Linked DNA regions of Callithrix jacchus. The protein of the gene in region 4 interacts with the protein of the main gene of each other region in a pairwise test. Links are inferred from orthologs where the notes say so. Each region holds a gene or a part of one and is shown on either strand. Other genes may lie near its edges. The genes, in order: ODAD1, CDR2, PSMC6 and C7H1orf216.

Region 1 (5,530 bases), on a different chromosome or scaffold from region 4:
GTCATTTTGGTTCATGCAGGATCCTCCAGACCTTCCCAAGACTGAATGAGCCTGTGGCTTTCTTCCTTTTCCATAGTCCCAATAAGGCCACATGACATTCAATTCTTTGTTTTCTTGTTTATTGTTTTTTTGAGACAGAGTCTCACTCTGTCACCCAGGCTGGAGTGCAGTGGCACAATCTCGGCTCACTGCAACCTCCGCCTCCCAAGTTCAAGCAATTCTCCTGCCTCAGCCTCCACGGTAGCTGGGATCACAGGCATGCACCACTGTGCCGGCTAATTTTGAATTTTTACTAGAGACGGGGTTTCTCCATGTTAGTCAGGTTAGTCTCAAACTCCTAACCTCAGGTGATCCTCCCACCTCAGCCTCCCAGAGTGCTGGGATTACAGGCGTGAGCCACCATGCTCGGCCGCCCAGCCTGAATTTTTTTTAAAGTTTTTATATAGCTTGATACCAATGGATTAAATCTTGACAGGGCATTTTGCATGACTCAACTACAGGAAAGAGTTATCCATGGTGTTCTCAGCCCTCTAAATCCTACACCCAGCCCCGCTGCAGGAGAGGGTCAGGGTCAGCTTTTTCTCTGTGACCCTGTGGCTGGCATTAAGGATGTCGATAAATAATCCTTCCTTTCTCTCCTTCCAGAAACACACACAGACTGTGCTTCCCAGCACCCCTTTGAAGCTGGGCGTGACCAGGTGACCTGCTCTGGCTAATGAGTATGAGCAGAGGGGACAGGTGTCCTATCAGGTCCAAGCTTCAGGAGTCACTGCCTGCTGTGCCATCTTCTCTTCTTCCCAGTGCCCAAGGGCTGGCAGCACTCCAGATGATGGCTGTGCCATGGGCCCAGGGCACATGGGTGATATGGAGCAGAGTGCTTGGCTGGCCCACAAAGGAGAGAAACCTCTGCTGCATGAGGACCACGGAGAACCTGCAGCTGTGACTGCCACACAGCCAAGCCTGCTGTGACCAACACAGCTCCAGAAGAGCCTGGCATGTGGAGGTCTCAGAAAAATGGATGAATAGGCTGGGTGTGGGGGCTCACGCCTGTAATCCCAACATTTTGGGAGGCTGAGGCAGGCAGATTGCCTGAGGTCAGGAGTTCAAGACCGACCTGGCTAACATGGCAAAACCCCATCTCTACTAAAAATACAAAAATTAGCCGGGAGTGGTGGTAGGCGCCTATAATCCCAGCTACTCAGGAGGCTGAGGGAGGAGAATCACTTTAACCCAGGAGGCGGAGACTGCAGTGAGCCGAGATCGTGACACTGCACTCCAGCCTGGGTGGCAAGAGGGAAACTGTCTCAAAAAGAAAAAAAAAAGTGAATGAATGAATGGTAGGGAATCGGGACAGGGTCACAGATGTCCCCCCAGGCTGGAGGTGGAGGAAGCAGCCATGCCTGAAGCCTGCTCTCCACACAGATACTTTATTTCCCGCACTCCCATTTTGCCATGCTGACTCTGGCGTCTTGGCGCTGACTTTTCCCCCGCCTGTCAGCACTGGAGGGCTCTTGGGGAGTGAGGAGCTACAGAGACAGGGACACAGGATGCATGGAGAGCCTGGGAGATGGAGACAGGAAAGCGAGCCAGAAGCAGGAGGTGGGGGACCACAGGGAGTCAGGGCTCCGCAGACAGGGAAAGGGCACATATGGAGACAAGACGGAGAGACTGACCAGGAAACCAAGAGAACAGGAAGTCGGGAGGCAGAAGGAAAAGCAGGGTCAGGAGCAGAGAGAAGGACGGGGAGACAGAGACGAGGCAGTGAGGAAGGGAGGATGGAAACAGGTGGGGGGCAAAAAGACAGAGGCCTAGGACTGGGAGAAGACAGACCCACAAGGCAAACAGAGAAGCAGAGACACAAGAGACCCCACAGAGAGCCAGGGCAGGGTGGGGACTCGTGCCCATCGTGTTAGCCCCGGGAGTCTTTGCTGCTGGAGGAGCCAGGGCCCGTGCTGGAGGCGGGGCCGGGGCTGGAGGCATGGCCTCTGCTGGACCTGAGGCCTCCGCTGGACTCGGATGTGGTGCCTCCGCTCTCCACACCCCACTCCGTGCTTTCTCCACCTCTGCTGGACCCCACGTATCCCGTAGAGCCCAGGTAGCTGCTGGCACTGACAGGTCTGAAAGTCATGTGGCCCCCACTCGAGGCACTGGTGGAGCCCAAGGTCACGTGGCCAGTGCTGGGGTCACTGTGGGTGGTGTGGCTGGGCAAATGCCCTGCACTGGGGCTGAGGGGGCCAAAAGTGACACGGCCATGAGAGCTGCGGTCTTTGCTAGTCCCCTGGCTCAAGATGGACCCGGGGATGGCATGGGGCTGCAAGGAGGGCACCAGGGCGGTGCTGGAGCCGTTCCTTTGGGTGCTGGCTAGGTCCATGCCCAGGGTGCCGTCCAGCTTTGCAGCGGCGTCAGCCAGGTCCTTCTGGTGCTGTGCCTCTGCCTGCTCCTGGAGCTCCACCTGCAGGGAAGGTGAGCTGGACCCTCCGATGCACACTGAGGCCTGGCCCCAACCCCGTGGGTCCCACTCTCACCAGCTTCTCCACCTGGCTCAGCAGCTCCTCCCTGCTCATGGGGTAGTCATCTCTGGCCTCAAAACCCGGGGGGTCTTCTCTGGGGAGGGGAAGGAAAACCGGAAAAGAGTAGACTCTTAGTCCTCAAAAAGGCCAGTGGCCATTCCTAATAAACTCAAGGAACCTCAGCCATTCTCCCACCAGCCCTGAGTGCCCTCCCCTTCTGGCGTACTCGGGGCCCCGTCTTCCCACACAGGCGCCAAACCCTACTCCTCTGGCTCCTTTGAAGCACACACTTCATCTTTTTTTTTTGAGATGGAGTCTCACTCTCTTGCCCAGGCTGGAGTGCAGTGGCATGATCTTGCTTCACCACAACCTCCCCAGGTTCAAGCAATTCTCCTGCCTCTGCCTCCTGAGTAGCTGGGATTACAGGCGCACACCACCACACCTGGCTAATTTTCATATTTTTAGTAGAGAGACAAGGTTTTGCTATGTTGGCCAGGCTGGTCTCAAACTCCTGACCTCATGATCCGCCCACCTCTGCCTCCCAGAGTGCTGGGATTACAGGCATGAGCCACTGTGCCCGGCCACACTTCATCTTCTAACCCCCTAGGACCCCATCCACCAGCTAGTTCCCAAAAGCCCCCCAAAACTCTCTACCCTGTGTGCTCCCTCTGCTCCGATGGAAGCCCCTTCCCCTCTGCATCCCTCCTGCCTTATGCCTCACAAATTGTCAGGGGGCCGAAGTGAAGCCATCTTCTTCGGAAGATCCTCTAGGTTCTGGCCCAGCACCAGGAGGGCAGCATTGGCCAAGGAGGTGAAGTTCTGGAGAGCATGGAGCCTGTGGTCAGCTGGGGCCCACCCCGAGGCCTGCCTCCTGCCCTGCTCCCTGCAGACCCCACCCTGGCTCCCTGTGCCCCCGACCTGGGCATTCAGGAAGGCCTGCACTGTGAGGAGCTCCACCAGCCGCTTCTCGATGAGGCTCAGGAAGAGGCCTAGGTCCCGGTCTCGCATGCTGGTCTTGACCCCAAGGAGGTCGTCGATCATGCTGCCATCACAACAGGCCTTGGTGAAGAGGAGCTGGATACCTGCGTCACGGAGGGCCAGCTGTCAGGGATCTGGCAGCGCTGGCTGGGTGCCATCCCTCCCCCTACGCAGGTCCCCACTGCCTCATTCTACAGAGACTGCAGTCAAGGCTCACAGACTAAAAGGGACTTACCCGAGCTCAGCCAGCCAGGCAGGGGGAGGGCACTGCTGTGTGTCCCCCTCCCTGGCTGGTCCTTCAAAATCAGCCTCAAGTGTCACTGCCTCCAGGAAGCCTTCCCAGTCACCCCCACAGAGCCAGCTTCGTGAGTGTGAGACCCAGGCAGTGGTGAGGGGTTCCTATCTTGAAAGTCTCGGCAATGTTTTAACAAGGGGCCCCTCATTCTGCACTGGGCCCCACAAATGATGGTCTTGCACCACAGACTGAGTTAGGGCCTCCTCTCGCCTGGGTGTCCTCCATCCTAGCCCGAGTGATGAGTGCCCAGTGCCCATGTCAGCCCCCTCCAGGGCCTCTCCCCACAGTGCCCACAGCACCTAGCACAGTGATGAGTGCCCAGTGCCCAGGTCAGCCCCTCCAGGGCCTCTCCCCACTGTGCCCACAGCACCTAGCACAGTGATGAGTGCCCAGTGCCCAGGTCAGCCCCTCCAGGGCCTCTTCCCACTGTGCCCACAGCACCTAGCACAGGGCTCGGCACAGCCATCACAACAGAGGGAAGGAGGACCTGCCCGTATGTGGACTCCGACTGTGCCCCGAGCTCGCTGTCCAGCTCACTCCCCACCACACCCCACCTCTCTCCATCCGTCATCCCTTCTAATTCCCATGACAACGCTGCAAAGTAAGCACTGCCATCCCCATTCCCAGAGGGGCTCAGAAGGAGGAAGCCACACACCAAGGTTCACAGTTGGTGGAGATGAGATTCAAACCCAGGACAGACTGGGCCCAGTGGCTCACACCTGTAATCCCAGCACTTTGGGAGGCCGAGGCAGGCAGATCATTTGAGGTCAGGAGTTTGAGACCAACCTGGCCACCATGATGAAATCCCATCTCTACTAAAAATACAAAAAATACTAGCCAGGCATGGTAGGGTAGTCCCAGCTACTGTGGAGGCTGAGGCAGAAGAATCACTTGAACCCGGGAGACGGATGTTGCAGTGACCCCAGATCACACCACTGCACTCCAGCCTAGGCAACAGAGTGAGATTCTGTCTCAAAACAACACTAAAAATGAAAATAAATTTTAAAAAAATCAGGACAGCCTGACGACTCAGTGCTCTGCATGGCTACGTCCCCCAAAATAAGAAAGATGGGGCCGGATGCGGTGGCTCACGCCTGTAATCCCAGCAGTCTGGGAAGCCGAGGCGAATGGACCACCTGAAGTCAGGAGTTTGAAACTACCTGGCCAACATGGCAAAACCCTGTCTCCACTAAAAATATAAAAATTAGCTGGGCATGGTGGCGTGTGCCTGTAATCCCAGCTACTCAGGAGGCTGAGGCAGGAGAATTGCTTGAACCCAGGAGAGGGAGGCTGCAGTGAGTGAAGGTCACTCCACGGCACTCAAATTTTTAAAAATAATAATAATAATAGAAAAAAAAAAGGATGGGAAGACACACAGGTAGATGCAACTGATACCCACAGAAAGGATTAAAAAAAAAAAAAAAATGGCCAGACATGGTGGCTCATGCCTGTAATCCCAGCACTTTGGGAGTCCAAGACAGGAGGATGGCTTGAGTCCAAGAGGCCAAGACTAGCCTGGACAACATAGGAAGATCCCACCTCTAAAAAAAATTTTTTTTTCAGGAGGATCCATCTCATCAACCTAGAAAAAAAAAAGAAAAAAAAAAATACAGTGGCTTATGCCTAGAGGCCAAGGCAGGTGGATCACTTGAGGTCAGGAGTTTAAAACCAGCCTGGCCAACATGGTGAAACCCTTTCTCTACTAAAAATACAAAAATTAGCCAGGCATGGTGGCAACTGCCTGTAA
Region 2 (6,088 bases), on a different chromosome or scaffold from region 4:
TGTCCCAGAAAAGATCTTACCCACAGAGATTATTGTCAGTATTCCTACTGTGCCAACTCAGCCCTCTGACAAAAGACAGTCTCTTCATCAAAGTGTTCTGTAACAGCAAAGGGTTTTCTCCCCCTGCCTACACAAAAGCTTTACATGTTTCTAACAAGGTATGAACAGTAGACCAAAGTTTACTGCGTTTAGAATTTTCCAGCAATTTCAATTTAAAAAAGAATACCCTAGGAAACTTTGATATAAAGACTCAATCTATTAAGATCATGGCTTCTACTGCTAAAGGAAAACATTTTGTAGTTGTAAGATTTTGAGAACAGGATCATAAAAAGTCTGGTCGGTACGAGGCTCACACCTGAAATCCCAGCACTTTGGGAGGCCGAGGTGGGTGGATCACAAGATCAGCAGATAGAGACCATCTTGGGCAACATGGTGAAACTACATCTCTACTAAAAACACAAAAATAAGCTGGGTGTGGTGGTATGCACCTGTATTCCCAGCTACTCGGGAGGCTGAGGCAGGATAATCGCTTGAAGCTGGGAGGTGGAGGTTGCAGTGAGCCAACAGCGAGAGCGCACCACTATACTCCAACCTGGGGACAGAACAAGACTCCGCCTCAAAAAAAAAAAAAGTTATTTTCAGCAGTTCTCTCCAAATAAGCCTTGCTCAGTAATAATGAGGATGTTAAAAACTGCAGACAGATGCCTGCACATAAAATCCCACTAGATCTGCGGAATACTTCTGTTTAACAGGGCAAACCTGCTCCCAAACTTAATTCAGCAGCAAGTGTCTACTGAGGACCTACAATGTCAGGCACTGTAGTGGGCACAGCCCATGAGGTGGCACCTCCAGGCTTCTCTAGTGAACAGATTTCCTGAAACATTGACTCTATGGGAGTAGGAGTCCTGCCTATCCTCTCATGTGGGGAGGCGCTGTGGCCCCAGTGCCTAGGTGAATACCTGGCAAAGAGCAGATAATACATTTTTAAGAAATGAATGTTTTAAAATCTGTTAAAAGCTTAGGAGTTAACACATAATTTAGCAAAACTGGGGAAAGGATACCCTTTTATTCACATTATAGCCTTTATTCTTTGACAGGCCATATTGACAAGTTATAATTATTGGAATTTGACATCCTCTATTCATACCCCATATAGTTATGACATAGAGGGTTATGTCAAAGTCCACTGTGAAAATGTAACAGCCCTTTGAAAAACACAGAAATGCAACTGGCAGTAAAGAGGTTCAGACCTATGTGTTGTTTTTTTGAGACATAGTTTCATTCTTCTTGTCCAGGCTGGAGTGCAAGGGTGCCATCTCCGCTCACTGCAATCTCTGCCTCCCAGGTTCAAACGATTCTCCTGCCTAGCCTCCAGAGCAGCTAGGACTGCAGGCGCCCGCCACCACGCCCAGCTCATTTTGTATTTTTAGTAGAGACGGAGTTTTACCATGTTGACCAGGCTGGTCTCGAACTCCCAACCTCAGGTGATCCGCCTGCCTCGGCCTCTCAAAGTGCAGGGATCACAGGTGTGAGCCACTCTACCCAGCCCAGACCTGTGTTTTTAAGGTTTGTTAAACTTGAAGAGCTAATGACTTTATTTTGATCAGAGGTTAAAGAGAATTCCACCTGCAACCCTGACACCTTGCACTTGCTTCTCAGTAGACTGAAGTGTTACAGCTAGTTGTTCCTAACAATCTCCCACAGCGGGAGAATGCAGCGTGGAGTAAGGTACCTGATGGAAGAGAGCCATGGAAAACAATTTTGTGTGAGTGCTTTAGTTCAGTTCAACAAATATTAAAATTGGGCTTCCAGTATGTAACAAGTATTATGCTAGATGCTGGAAATAACCTGAAAAAGGAACCTACCCCCTCTATTCCCTTAAAGATTTATGCTTCTTAAATACAAGAAAGAAAAATATTTAGTTATGATGATACAGATTGCTTAAATTATAGGGAAATATTGCAATGGCACAGTGGTTGCCTCATAAATCCTGGAGAAACTATCAAACTAGGCCATCAATCCTTATGGGGAAATCTGAAAACAGGTTTGTTAAAATGTATGACAGATTTGTCTTTTTGACCTAAAGAAGATGGTGCCGAACACTGCACGGCAACCACTAAGTAGCTTGGAGTCTATAGGCATAATAAGGTGAATTACTTTGGTTAAAGTGATTGCACGTTAATTTAAGAAATTATCTTCCTCCAAAAGAGGTGCTTATTATCCTTTTCTGAATTATTCAAGTCTAGATTCTTTTCTTCTGCCACGTTCGGTTAGCATGAACAAGCATCATGATCATTTAATATTCAACTAAATGAGATGTTAATTTTCACTGCAAGATTAGTGAAAGCATTTACACAAAATTACAGAAACTGAAGATGCCTGGAAAAATTCTTGAGGATTATTCAGTATTCAGCACAGTGGTTAAGAATGTTCTGGAGTCTTAAGGGGAACCCTAGCACTCCCCAACATTACTACCTCTATTGTGTTACCAGGAGAATTAAATGAGCAACTGTGTTATGGGCTTATCAGTGTTAGGCACATAAAAAGTGTTTCCCAACTGCTAGCTCCTATTAGTATGAAAAAAAGGGGGGCCCACTGGTCCCAAAGTGCGGGCCGCTCTACGATTGTTCTCTGGAGACACCACCGGCAGGCCTGTTTCTAAGTGAAAGCTGGCATGCAAACTGAAGTGACAGAGGTAGAAGGGCTCTTCTGCCGTTTCAATTGGCATCTGGTGAACTATGTCTAACAGCTTAACGCCCAATTGAAAAAAGCTGTAAACTAGGATGGAAAAGAAGAGATGGGGTTTGAGCAGTGACTACAATTCCGAGTGTGTGGTTCAAAAAACACTCCCTCCACACTTAGCTTTAGGCAAGCGACTTAACCATTTGAGCCTCCCCTTTCCCATCTGGAAAATGGGGTAACAAAAGTTACTTTCAGTGTAATTGGTTTGTTAGTATCTCAACGGATAAATGCTGGAGGGGATGGACTCCCCGTTTCCCATCATGTGCTTATTTCACAATGTGAGCCTGTATCCAAACATCTCATGTACCCCATAAATATATACACCTATTATGTACCCTCAAACATTAAAAAATAAATTTTTGAAAAGTTACTGCTTCCTGGAGTTCCGTTACGTGCGGAGCACACAGCTCCCGCTAGGCGCAAAACCACCACCACCTGCAGCGGCCGGCCCTCCGCGCTGGCCATGAAAGGCGCTGGGGTCGACAGGCTGCGAGGGGGCGGCTTCCCGGGTTCGGCCACTTACTGCGGGGCACCTGGTTCACCCGGGTCTGTCTTGGAGGAATGCAGCGAAGATTAAACCAGTTAATCCAGGGAAAGCGCTTAAAACGGTGCCTGGCGCGCCGCTGGCCCCCACGCGCCCTGGGGCCGATATTGAACTGCGTATTTGCAGGGCCGTGGGCCCCGCGCCGAGGCTTCCTGCGGGCGGGATCCGCAGGCACCGCCGGCCCCGCCGCCAGGTGCGCCCGAGCCCTTCCCGGCACCTGCATCCTCCACCGCCAGAGAAAGCAACTTTTTAACAGTTCCGCATCGGGAGCCTCCTGGGCCAGGCCGCCACCCGCCCGCCCGAGGGGCGCCCCCGCCCTCACCTTGCTGGAGGTCCTGGTGGTCGTACCACGGTTCGTCCTCCTTCATCTCAAACTCCTCCACCAGGTTTTCCGCCAGCATCTCCGCTGGGTCCTCCGGGGGCAGCGGCTCCCACCGCCGCCGTCCCACCTCAGCCGCTGCCCCGGGCTCTCCCCCGGTCCCTCCGCCCTCAGCCAGAGCCGCCCTCGGGTGGGACGCGCCGCCGCCCAGGCTCCGCCACTCCGCCTCAGCCCTGCTCCCGCCGGCGGCCGCTACCGACCGGCCGCCTCCTTGACTCGCGTCGCGCCACCCAACGGCCCCAACGGCCCCAACGGCTGGGCGTTCCGACGCGAGGGCCCCGAGCCGGCTCCTCACGCCGCCGCCGGGCCCAACGTGGCACTTTGGCAGAACCCTCCCCGGCTGGGGATGCGATTCAAACCCCCGGCGGCTCCTCAACCAATCGGGAGCGGGCCGCTGGCCGAGCGGCAGCGACTTCGCCCAATCGCGTCTCTCCAAAGGCGCGCGGCTCGCCCGGTCTCGAGGGCATGCAGCCAATGTCGGGCCCGGAATAAACAAAGAAGGCGGGGAAAGAGTGAAGGGGTGCGGCCGAAAGCCCGCCCCCTGATCTGCGCGGTGCGGCTCCTAGGAGCGTGTTCTGGGGTCTGGGCTGTGGAGCCCGCCGCGCCGCGTCCTACCCCTGCGGTGGGTGTCCCGAGGCCGGCGCGTCCGTGGATAGGCAACGAGGGCCTGAGGGTCTAGAATTCCGACCTCTGAGAGTTGAGCGGTTGTCCAGGGAAGTCCTTCGTGCCGGCGGGAGGCGCAAGGGTGCCAGAAGCGCTTGGTCCGCCGCCCGCTCGCCCCTCTCGCATCTTGACTCAGATTTGCTCCGAATCTGGCGGGGAGACTCGGGGTCGATCGGGAGTTTAGGGCTAAGAAAACGCCCATTGAGCGGTAGCTTTTGTCTCCTTGATATCTGAGCCCTGGGAATTGTTCTGACGCTCCCTAAAACGGTGGGTGCCAGACCCCCTTGAGAATTTGGGGCGGGGAGGGATGCCCGAAGCAGTCCACTTGGAAGGAAAAAATTGCAAGCAGTGTTGCATACGAGTTTTAAAAGGTACCCGTAGACCACAAGTTAAGCATCTGGGGACATGACATTGCACCTGGAGGGGACAGGCTGCAGCCCCAGCACTTGGTAGCCAGCGAGGCAGAGCACGCTGTCTGTCCTCCACCGACAAAACCCAGCAAATACTGCTCGTGGGTTAAGCTTTTAGCACCATCTTGCAGACAAAGCACGGAAACTCTTAAGCAGGATGACAGACCTGAAGGTCAATGTTCTCAACCTTGAAGTAAAGGCAAAGGTGCAGCCGATGGAAGACAGCAGAACCAGTATCTTGCTAAGTTTGAGCAACAAAACAACAACAAAAAAATCGAGGTTTAAGTATATAATTCAAAGATTAGAACATAAGGTAATAATTGTTAGAAGTGGAGAGGAGTGTTAGTTAAATCCTGATCTATTTTAGCAGTGAGTCGGCAGATAATACCTTACATTGATAATCCAACAAATCGTTTCCACAAATATGGAGAGAGCTGCCAGAACTGAAAATGGGAGCAATTAAGAGTTTCCCTAAGGGGAGGATTGAGTTGGGGCTGGGGACTTTTTGTTATAAACCCTCCTGTGATCTTACTTTTTTAGATACTTGCACAATTAAAAATAAGGGAAATTGTAGGGAAGGAATTGTAGACTCAAGGCTACTTTTGTCTTTCTGTGTAAAAGAATAAAGACGGGTAATTTGAAAGAGAGGGAAACGCATCCTAAATAATTCTTGTGGGTAACAAAATAATTCTTGTGGGTAATAAAATTTAGGTGTCTCTCCACCTCCCATCTTTGCTCAGATCAGTGCTGATGCCTTATCAAACAGCACTTGACTCCAGGGTTACCTTACGCAGAGGCTGTAGGCTACTCTGGAGAAGTCTTGCCAGGGACAAGAAAACCTCCTTACTGTGGAGTTGTTGCCTGAAGTCCTTAAAGGCGACTGCTGAATAGAGTGGAAAGCACAAGGGACCTAGAGTGAGAAAACCTGGAGTTCTTGCCATACTTAGTACCAGCAGAGAAGCCTTTTAGCAAACAGTTTACAGGAAAGATGATTATGTTTGCCTTGCTCACAAAGCTATGTGAATCAAAGACCCTGAAAGCAAGTATTTTGTGCTCTTTTTAAATGTAAGGCTGTGTGCTTGTGATGGATACTGTAAAAGTGCAGGTACCCTTGAGGACCAATTATGAGCATCACAATAATCATAGTAATGGATTATAACCCATTGAATCGAAGAATCCATGAGTCCATACTGATATAAATAAGAAAAGAAAGCTTTCTTACAGTAGGATGCCAAGCAAAAAATGTAGAAGTAATAACAGTGTTAGTCATAATAATAATAAAAGAGGAATGGTAAACTCACAAAACCCTTTCTTCAAAAAGACAAAATGTTACTGGTGCACCTGTAGTCC
Region 3 (6,235 bases), on a different chromosome or scaffold from region 4:
ATGACTTATAAAATAAGTAATTTAAAGTGATTTCCACCTGCCCCTTAAAACAATGCACCTTTGTGTAATCTCAGCATGAAATGTGAAATGACTAATACACAAAGCTTGAGGTGGCAATGGTACAGTGACTGTGAGAATTGCTACCAAAACACTTATAGAAAAACTCGTTAATATACATTGTAGGGAAAGGAAAGGGAAGCATTTTAAAGGTGTGCTCTTAGCACACTGGTTAGGTAGAAAAATAAAATAAAATAAATAAAGGTGTGCTCATCAGATTTATTCTGAAATGCATGGTTTCTGGGAAGAATGTGTGTTACATGATCATGAGAATAGGAGGAAATGTACTATATCCACTTAGAGATTTGTATTAAAATGCTTTAAAATTAAAGCCCAAAGCCCAGCAACCATCATTCATGCCTTTGCAACATTATAGGCATATGCTGAGCACATTACACATTAAGCTGAATCACACTAAATAATTTCTTGGCATATCTGCCTAAAATTATAGACGGCATTGCATCTAATAGATTCGCCTCACACTCAGGATGTTGTTATTTTTCAAAGACAAAGTTACTTATTAATAGTTTTAAAAAACTGCTTGCCAATACAATTTCAGAATCACATAAATTACTGACAACTTGTCACAAGATTTTACAAAGAGCTTTAAACTTAGGAAGATAGTCAAAACACTAGGATTAATATAACAAGAAAAAAAACTGCTAAAAAGCAAGGATACTTGGAAAAAGAAGAGGAGAGATCAATATGAAGCCATTTCAATGTTTACATCTGCAGGGAATACAAGTTGAGTATTCCTAATCTGAAAATCCAAAATGCTCCACAATGTGAAATTTTTTGAGTGCTGACATGATGCTCAAAGAAAATGCTCATGGGAGCATTTCAAATTTTGGATTTTTTAATTAGAGATGCTCAACCAATATAATGCAAATATTCTAAAATCTGAAAAAAGCCAAAGTATAAAACATATTTCTGGCTCAAGTATTTTGGATAAGGGATACTCAACTTATATATACCTTGGCTTTTCTAATGTTTTCTAGTTTTCAAATATTGTCTTGTCCTCATGCAACCTGAAATATCTTAATGCCAACTTTTGGCATCCAGAAAGCCCTGAAACGGACATAAAAACCCCTTGTCAGTTTAGGTATCTAATAGTTTGACTTAAAAAATGTCAACCACTTAATATACTAGGCAAAATCTTAATACAAGATTTATTCCCTGGATTAAATTCTCCCCTACAGCCATGTCCTGTGAATGTTTTAAAATCCGAACCCAAAATGACAATTACACAGAGCTCTTCCAATGAATTTAAAAGAAGTCTCTACCTAAGGACACTTCCTATAGTACATAAATTGATTTCAGACACTACTGAATGACCTGAGGTCATTTGTTGGCATCTTTAGTGACGGTAAAATAAAATTCAGAATTATTTCAACTTGTCCTACCCTAATCTAAATGACCTCATACAAAATTAACTTAGGCCATGGTACAGTCTTATCAGTAACAGTTCTGAATGCTGAAATATAAACACAGGTAACTGATCGTATCTAACACTTCTAAGTCCTCTTTAAAAATGACATTAAAGCCAGGTGTTGTGGCTCACACCTGTAATCCCAGCACTTTAAGAGGCCGAGGCAGGTGGATCACCAGGTCAGATCAAAACCATCCCAGCCAACATGGCGAAACCCAGTCTCTACTAAAAATACAAAAAAAAAATTAGCTGGGCATGGTGGTGCATGCCTGTAATTCCAGCTACTCTGGAGGCTGAGGCAGGGAAAATCATTTGAACCAGGGAGTTGGAGGTTGCAGTGAGCCAAGATCGTGCCACTGCTCTTCAGCCTGGTGACAGAGTGATATTGTCTCTCACACACACACATGAAAAAGATACTAACATAAAATGCCTATTTTCCAGTTCTAAAACACTGATTTCTAAGTCACTGTTAATAGATCTGACTGAGACAATGTAATACAGTAGAAAGTAGAGAATGCCAGGAGTCAAAGCCTATGGTTTGAATTCAGGCTTTGTTAATAACTAGCTATGTCTGAACAAATCACCCTTGTCAGTTATGGGCATAAATGCCCAACCTGTTTGCCTCAAGAATTAGAGACAATAACTTACATGAAACTGCTTTTATCAATCAGCAAGCACTAGACAAATAAAAAGTATTACCTGTCGACGACAACCCACAACATATCTCGGTCCATTTGTTGCTTTAACGATGACTAGAAGAAAAAAACAAAAAAGAAGTAATTGAAAAACAAAGTAAAAAAATACATATCCACATTGATAGAGGGCTTAGTTTTATTTTCTGTCCTCCAAGAAGACAATAGTTGAAGACAAACTTAAGTCTATGCAAAAATACTCTCTCTCTGCATTAGTGTCATTATGCATTTTGAAATAATATGCATTTCAAAAGTTAGAGAGAGGTGAGCTGTTTCTTTACTAATTACTAATCTAAATTCACTCACATTTTTCTTCGGTTAACTGTTTAAGCACTTCACCCACAATCTAAGGAAGAAAATAAAAAGCATTACTTTTTGGCAACACCTAAATAAAAAAGCAAATTACCATCACCCGCTAATCCCCAAACTCCATTACCTACCTGCCCAACACTTTGTAGGGCCTTCAAATCATTTTCAGACTTTTCATACTGCTTGGTAAGTTCTTTTAATTGTTCCCTTACTGAAATAATACAATTTGAACATTTTTAGTTGAACAGTAATCTTAATGTGTTTAAATCGCTAAATCTCACTTTAGTGTTTACTTAAGTCTATTTCACTTTACCTAAGTTTCACATCCACTATTTCAAACCACAAAAGAAACAATGCTGTTTGTAATAGTAGGTGGCATGTACAACAAAAAAATGTTTCAGAGAAAGCACCGTAATTTTATTTTCTTGATCGGCAACACTTGTTTAAGCACATTAAGTTATATTCTTAACAGATATTGACACATTGACACTTAGGATTTGCGACTACAAATCCGAATGATAATCAGTTAGTTAGACCCTTCCTCACCTATTCACCTACCCACTTGGATTCTTCTCTGATATTCTAACCTCAAGTCAAAAAATGGAGTTCTCCACAGAATCACTTAGTTACAGTCCTCCTTCATTTAATTAAACCACTCATGCTTTTCAATGAAAATGCACTGGAAAAAAAAAAAGTTAAGCCCTCAAGAGGTAAGGGAAATTTGTATGCCTTGATACAGTACAACAGGAAACACGACAAAAGACGAAATGGGTTATTGTGACAACTGGAACCCTTCTCTCTTAAGCTCCGCGGCCGTCTTTTACTTCCAACAAGCCGACTCCCTGAGTCTCATCTCTTGTTTGAGCTTCCTTGACTCAAGCGCCTTCCCCTCTTCGAGTCCCAGGACTCCAAAAACACTGCCCTCCTTGCACCCTAACCTGAGTAACATCCTCGGCCTACTTCTTCCCACTCCTCCTCTAGTTCTTTTTCATTTCCACTTCAGGGCCGCGGATGTTCTGTCACTTGGACTGGACTGGGCCATTTCTACACACGAAGGAGTGCTGCTCCCCAAGCTCAGGGCCGGATGACAAAGCGCCTTGTCCCTGGACCGAGGCCTGGTCATATCTAAGTCTCGGTTACCGGGCTCGGCCAAAGGCTTCTACTTTGTTAGAGGCAGAAGCGAGTCGAGGCACTTGATTACATAGAAAGAAGGGTGCGCTCACACTCCTTAAGACGGCCGTCGATCTCCTTGTGCTCAAGCAGCTTCTTGCGGTAGTCCTGAAGCGCCTTATCTCTAGGGTCCGCCATGATGAGAAGCCGTCTCTCATAGGGGATGCCGGGAATGGCCATGGCCGTCAGGGCGGGGGAAGGGGCGGGGCAAGGGACGAAACCAGGCCTGTAGGGGTGGGTTTGCCCATGGACCCGCCCCTTCCTGTTGGCCCCGCCTTTCTACTTCAGTTCTCCCACCTCTATGTCTTGGTTCACCTAGAACGCCGGCGTACACTAAAGGGGGACTCCGACCACACCGTCCCCTGCAGGCCAAGATGGGTAAAGCAGGACGCAGTTACCCGGTCTTCCCCGGAGAGGCCTCAGTATTAACTGCTGTCCCGGAACTATAAAAGGCTGTGTAATAAAATGAGATGAAAGTGAAGTAGGAAATGTGTAATACCTCAAAAGAGTTCCGATGGCCTGTCGACACAACACAGATGGCCTTTCGTATACCACAGTGCTATCCAAGACCTCCACGTTCAGAAGTAGGCAGTTTTATTCAACCCTTCAGTGAGTGAATGAGGTATTAAAAATAAATCTGCTTATGATTTGGTGGGAAATAATTAAAAAAAAACCTTGAGAGTATAGCAAATACTATGAAGGAATTAAAATACGGTGAGAAGTATGGTGGGAAAAATTAATCTAGAGCAGATATCTGAGATGAGATGAAACCAGCCTTGCAACAACTGAAGCAAACCTTCTAAACAAAGGAAACAGAAAGCACAAGTCCTGGAGTGGGGTGGGGTGGCGGGATGTGGGTAGAAAGCTTGGCTCACTTCCAGGAACAGAAAGGCCAATGGTACCAGTAGCGGGTGGGTTGTAGAGACGTGGGGTGCAAGATAAAGATGCGGAAGTAGGCTGAGGCAGGAACTCTGAAGGCTGATAGAACTTTCAGATTATTATTATTATTTTTTTTAAATGGAGTCTCGCTCCTGTCACACAGGCTGGAGTGCAGTGGCGCAATCTCGGCTCACCGCAACCACCGCCTCCCGGGTTCAAGCAATTCTCGTGCCTCCTGAGAGCTGGGATTACAGGCTCCCGCCGCCACGCTCAGCTCATTTTTGTATTTTTAGTAGAGACAGGGTTTCACTGTGTTGGCCAGGCTGGTCTTGAACTCCTTACCTCAAGTGATCCGCCTGCCTCAGCCTCCCAAAGTGCTGAGATTACAGGTGTGAGCCATCACGGCTGGCCAACTTTCAGATTTTTGTGATTTGGGGAAAATTACATATTCCCTCAATATCTCTGTAAAATGATCATAATAATTGCACTTATCTAATAGGGTTGTCATGAGTATTCACTAGGATAATGTGCCTAAAGCTGGTAACACAACATCTGCCACATAGTAAGTACTCAATAGTGTTCTTTTGAATAGTTATTCAAGAGTAGTAATGACCCCAATTTTTGCAGTACAGGTCCTCATTGCTATACCTCTTGCCATCATTGTTCCTGGGGACAGTTAATTGTTGTCTCAAAAAAATCAGTAAAATTCTCCAGATAGATTCCATTTGATCTTATCCAATGGCCATGAATGTTTTAGTTTAAATATGTATATACTAAATATAAAAATAAAGCACAAATTTACTTAAATTAATGACCCAAAGTCACATAAAGGGTGCCTTCAAATTTATTAGAAACAATTCTCATGGGCACTGTGTGAAGATTCCATTCTATTTTTCTAAATACAATTGGGTTCTTGCAGTATACAATGAACAAAGAAGATGGATTGGGCAGAGATAGTCCCTTCTCCCACTCACAACTACTCTGGTCAAACTAGTCCATTGATACCAGAATATGTCACCTCTGACATCAAGAAGTGAAGAGAGGACAAGGCAGAGAAAAAAGATAGCTCAGTTTGGTTCAGTTTAACAAATTTTAGGAGCACATACTGATAGATTATTTTAGCATTAATCACATGAATATTTTAAACTACTTTGACCCTTTTTCTTTTTCTTTCACCCATCTGGCAGCATTTCAACTTCAGATGAATCTTCTAGTTTCCCTATGCCTACACTAGCCCTGTTACAGTTTTGTTTTGTTTTATTTTTGAGACCAAGTCTCGCTCTGTCGCTCAGGCTGGAGTGCAGTGGCGAGATCTCAGCTCAATGCAACCTCCACCTCCCGGGTTCAAGCAATTCTCTGGCTTCAGCCTCCTGAGTAGCTGGGACTACAGGTATGCGCCACAACGACTGGCTAATTTTTGCATTTTTGGTAGAGACAGGGTTTCACCATGTTGGTCAAGCTGGTCTTGAATTCCTGAGCTCAGATGATCCACCTGCCTCGGCCTTCCAAAACGTTGGAATTACAGGCATGCGCCACTGCGCCTGGCTCTGTTACTTTTTTATATGTGCCTATAAGACTGTATTTCTCTCCATTTGAAAACGTAGCTCAACTTGTAATTATATATTCTTAAATGTGACTAAATGTTTAGTCTTTTCCCACCAGTGGACTGTAACCCCTCGGAAAACAAACTAGTTCTTTC
Region 4 (4,350 bases):
AGCTGGGTGCAGTGGCTCACACCTGTAATAATCCCGGTACTTTGGGAGGCCAAGTAGGTGGATCACAAGGTCAGGTGTTCAAGACCAGCCTGGCCAATATGGTGAAACTCCGTCTCTACTAAAAATACAAAAAATAGCCAGGTGTGGTGGCGCACGCCTGTAATCCCAGCTACTCGGGAGGCTGAGGCAGAAGAATCTCTTGAACCTGGGAGGCGAAAGCTGCAGTGAGCTGAGATTGCTGCAGCCTGGGTGACAGAGCAAGACTCTTGTCTCAAAAAAAAGAAAAAATGCAGTATATTTCAGATTTGTGAATTTTGATATCCCTGGGGGTCCTGGAACCAATCCCCTCAGATACCAAAGATGACTATATATTATAACTACATGTGTGTCGAAACCATCTAAGGACCTGAACTCAGTCTTTCATAGTCAGTGCCCTTCGGGGAAGTGATGATGCCAGGGTACAGTTTTTTGTTTTGGTTTTTGAGATGGAGTTTAACTCTTGTTGCCCAGGCTGGAGTGCCATGGTGCAATCTCTGCTCATGGCAACCTCCACCTCCTGGGTTCAAGTGATTCTCCTGTCTCAGCCTACTGAGTAGCTGGGATTACAGGTGCCTGCCACCATGGCTGGCTAATTTTTGTATTTTTAGTAGAGATGGGGTTTCACCATCTTAGCCAGGCTGGTTTTGAACTTCCAACCTCAGGTGATCCACCTGTCTGAGCCTCCAAAAGTGCTGGGATTACACTGCGCATGGCCCAGATACAGTTGAGTATGTGAAAGTGTGTATGATATGTGTCCCTCACAATTCACTTAGGCCCAAAGGTGACATGGCACAAGGACAATCCCAGTGGGGCTCTCAGGGTAGAGGCCGTCTCCCCTGTCACACTGGGAGGCCCCTGAGAGACTTCCCCACCCCATCGGGTCATCAGGTATAGCAGTCTACATTCTCCAGTGTCTTCCCCCAAAACCACCCCCCACCTCCTCGTCCAGGACCCTACTGAAAAGGGGAGCTCAGATGGTGTGGAAAAGAGACCACCAGAGAACAGGTAGAAGAAAAACACATACTCAAGAAATTTAATTCTCTGCCCAGTTTATTCATTCTGGGTTGGTCCAAAGGCTGGGTTTACACACTCAATATGCAAGAGCTGCAGACGAAGTCTTCAGGGCCCACCCCTCACCCCTGCTTCCTGGACCTTTCGCCCACCCACCTATCAGGGACAAAACTCTTTAGAGATAGACAGGAAGAGCTCTCCCACTTTGCCTGGGAGACTGAGGGCCAGAGGCTGCATCAGTGACTTCCATGCCACTGTTCACTCATCAGTGTCCCCTCTTCATACCACTGCTCATCCACCAGGATTCTGCATTCTCTTGGCTCCCAGGAACAAAGCAGAGAGCTCAGCTACCTTACTCATTGATTTTAAGACTCACCCACTCTGTAACTCACGGAGTCTGCCAATCCCTGTTTGAAGGGCCATGCAGTGAAAGAAGAGGTTAAAACTCAGCGTCCTAAGCATTTCCAGAGGTTTAGGTTGACACTGTCCCCTTCCTGTCCCAGAAAGCCAACCTCTGGCTCATCTTGACAGTCCGACTTCAGAGAAATGGACCAAACCAATTCAACATCCAATGCTGTAAAGCCAGAGAGGCACAGCAAGGTAGAGGCACAGACAGGGAAGTGATATTTTCCTTATCAGCCTTGGAACATCTTGTCTGTTACTTGCAAACTTATACATACACATTGCTTTTCATCAGAAGCTTAAATCAACAGGGTTTGCCACAGCTCCTTTCCCAATGGAGAGATGGTTTGTTTGGGAACTAGTATTTTAGAACTCCCATTCTCCTGTTCTTCACAGGGTTCCACTATTACCATCTCCCCTGTCCCCATCTCCCATGTGCCCAAAGGTAGAGTTCAAGAGGGACAGTCCCCTATGTCCTTCTCTGTCCCCAATGCCACCATCATCTCCATCACTACTCCTAGTTCCCCTTCCTGACACCAGTTCTCCACCCACTGCCTGATAAAATTGCAGCCAAAATGCCATGGCAGGCCAGAGCAGCCACTAAACCTCCTACGGCAAAGCCAACATCAGGGAAAACAGCCGTAGCTCAGCAAGTCTGGGTTTAGTGAGGGAAAAGGAGAGGAAAGGTGGCCTGTAAATCCCAGGAGAACGAATCAGCCACAACCCTCAGATAAATGACAGCATGCTAGCCCTCTGTCTAGTAGACTCAGGGGAGAAGAAAGGCTGGGGTAGGCCACGAGGGACACAAAGTGTGGATGGACACTGCACTAGTACCGCTGGATATATATTTGCACACACCTGCTCATGAGTCTGCCTGCAAACACACATGCTCCTTATACCTCCCATGCCTGTGCCCACACCCATGCACCCCTGCACACACGACGGCTCTCTCCCATACACCCAACACAAGCCTGCACACTCAAACTCACTCATATACACACACATATTCTGCATATACATCCTCACTCATGTGCACATACATACACTGCTGGGTACCTGTCTATACACGCATATACAGATTTCCTCCTTCTTACATACTACACACACATATGTTCACTCTTACACACTTACATGTAGGTCTGCAGATAAGTTCGCTTGTGTGTACACATGTGCACACAGCACTTAAGCTCATTTATACATGCTTATTGACACATGCCTACACACACTTGCCTACATGTTAGCACGTTCACACTCATGCCTACCTGCAATCATGCCAGTAAATAATTATGTACTTATTAGGGCACAACCTCATACATGCCTGCAAATATACACATACACCCTTGCACACTTGTGGAGGCACACCCTTAGCCCTGGTCCTGGGGCCTGGATGGTGCTGCCCTCTGCTGGAGACAGCGAATAAGCTCCTTCCGGTTGTCTAGGATGGTGTCGAAGCTCTCCTGCAGTCGGGCCTGCTGATCAATCAACTGATGCTGCAGGCCCCGGATCCACTGCAGCAGTGCCAGGCGACGGTACATCACCAAGTGCACGTGGTGCTTTTCCTTCTCCTGCTCTTTGTAGCGCTCCTGAGCTTGCAAGTGCTGCACAGCCTGGGCCACTGAGGGCAGAAGGAGATCAGGAGGGCCAGGGCCTCTCAGAGTCCCACAGGCAGGCTCAGGACTGCTGCTAGGGCTGTCGATGCTCAGGGAACTGCTGGCATAGCCGTTGTCCTCCAGAGGGGAGCAGACTGTGCCAGCACTACCCATCTTCTCAGGTTCAGCCCCGGGAATCTCTGCCCCCTCTGGGGGGCTGCGCACCCCTTCCTCAGGGGACCCAGGGGCCTGGAAGGCCTGGTTGTCAGAGGGCGACTCAGAGGAGCTCCTCATCAGGATCGGTTCCACTCTGCCTGGCATCCCATGCCAATTCTCATTAGCATCCTTGGCACTTGCCATGAAGTTGGAGTTGCTGTCTGGTTGGAGCTCAGGCTGACATACTCCAGGAGGCAGGTCCCCCAAGAATTGCCCCCCCTCAGCTAGCCCTGGCTGGATGGCGAACATCTGGTCTGTAAAGGGAAAGCAGGAGACTGAGTCACAGTAGGACAGGGCAGAGTACCTTAAGTCAGGGCAACTTAGCTGCAGGGACGAAGCTGCGAGCAAGAGCCTGGCCACTCCCTGTCAAACCCTTTCTTGCCTCTGGTAGCACTTCCCTTCATGGTTTTCATCCTCCCTGTTCATCCATCTACCTGTTCATTCTCTGCCTCCTGCAGAGGGTTTTTCCTCAGCCCTCAGAGCCAGGCTGTCTTCTCATTTTGTGCATTTCTCTCCAGATAACCTCATTCTCTGCTGTGGCTTCAAGGACCATCATATGCTGGTGACTCTCAGATCGGTCTTCAGCCCAGATCTAACTGCTATCCAACCCTGCAACCAACCATAAGCTCCTCAAATTCTTTTTAACCAGTCTGAGTGCGGTGGCTCACCTGAGGTCAAGAGTTCAAGACTAGCCTGGCCAACATGGCAAAACCCAATTTCTACCAAAAATACAAAAATTAGCCAGGCGTGGTGGCAGGTGCCTGTAATCCCAGCTACTTGGGAGGCTGAGGCAGGAGAATCGCTTGAGATTTCAGTGAGCTGAGATTGCGCCACTGCACTCCAGCCTGCGTGAGAGTGAGAATCCGTCCCCCGCCACCCCCCCAAAAATTCCAAACAAACTCTCCTTCTTCAGTATCCTCAGCAAAATGGCTCTGCGCTCCATCCAGAAGGCTGGGAGCATCCTGGGCTCCTCACTCTCTTTCCTTCTCCCATCTCATTGATAACCACGTTCTGACCATTCTTCCTCTTCCAGGCCATTTCTGACTTGGATTATTGCCACGGCCTTTTCACTGATCGCTCTGCCTCCAGTTAA

What was found.
Region 1: the proteins of C7H1orf216 (region 4) and ODAD1 interact in binary tests that used the Homo sapiens proteins (3 or more experiments, as listed by UniProt). The two-hybrid records come from large-scale screens. The link is inferred for Callithrix jacchus from reciprocal best matches to the Homo sapiens genes C1orf216 and ODAD1.
Region 2: the proteins of C7H1orf216 (region 4) and CDR2 interact in binary tests that used the Homo sapiens proteins (3 or more experiments, as listed by UniProt). The two-hybrid records come from large-scale screens. The link is inferred for Callithrix jacchus from reciprocal best matches to the Homo sapiens genes C1orf216 and CDR2.
Region 3: the proteins of C7H1orf216 (region 4) and PSMC6 interact in binary tests that used the Homo sapiens proteins (3 or more experiments, as listed by UniProt). The two-hybrid records come from large-scale screens. The link is inferred for Callithrix jacchus from reciprocal best matches to the Homo sapiens genes C1orf216 and PSMC6.

What each region holds. Positions count from the first base shown.
Region 1 is NC_133523.1:42,174,793-42,180,322, forward strand, and holds part of ODAD1 (outer dynein arm-docking complex subunit 1), read right to left. Parts: intron 3,593-5,530; coding exon 3,429-3,592; intron 3,330-3,428; coding exon 3,232-3,329; intron 2,605-3,231; coding exon 2,526-2,604; intron 2,453-2,525; coding exon 1,910-2,452; 3' UTR 1-1,909. UniProt on the Homo sapiens protein: Component of the outer dynein arm-docking complex (ODA-DC) that mediates outer dynein arms (ODA) binding onto the doublet microtubule. Involved in mediating assembly of both ODAs and their axonemal docking complex onto ciliary microtubules.
Region 2 is NC_133513.1:22,964,240-22,970,327, forward strand, and holds the start of CDR2 (cerebellar degeneration-related protein 2), read right to left. Parts: upstream 3,992-6,088; 5' UTR 3,688-3,991; coding exon 3,609-3,687; intron 1-3,608.
Region 3 is NC_133509.1:87,258,965-87,265,199, reverse strand, and holds the start of PSMC6 (26S proteasome regulatory subunit 10B), read right to left. Parts: upstream 3,807-6,235; 5' UTR 3,796-3,806; coding exon 3,711-3,795; exon of another isoform or gene 3,426-3,710; intron 2,699-3,425; coding exon 2,619-2,698; intron 2,525-2,618; coding exon 2,485-2,524; intron 2,239-2,484; coding exon 2,186-2,238; intron 1-2,185. UniProt on the Homo sapiens protein: Component of the 26S proteasome, a multiprotein complex involved in the ATP-dependent degradation of ubiquitinated proteins.
Region 4 is NC_133508.1:72,299,364-72,303,713, forward strand, and holds the end of C7H1orf216 (UPF0500 protein C1orf216 homolog), read right to left. Parts: intron 3,512-4,350; 5' UTR 3,507-3,511; coding exon 2,817-3,506; 3' UTR 1,072-2,816; downstream 1-1,071.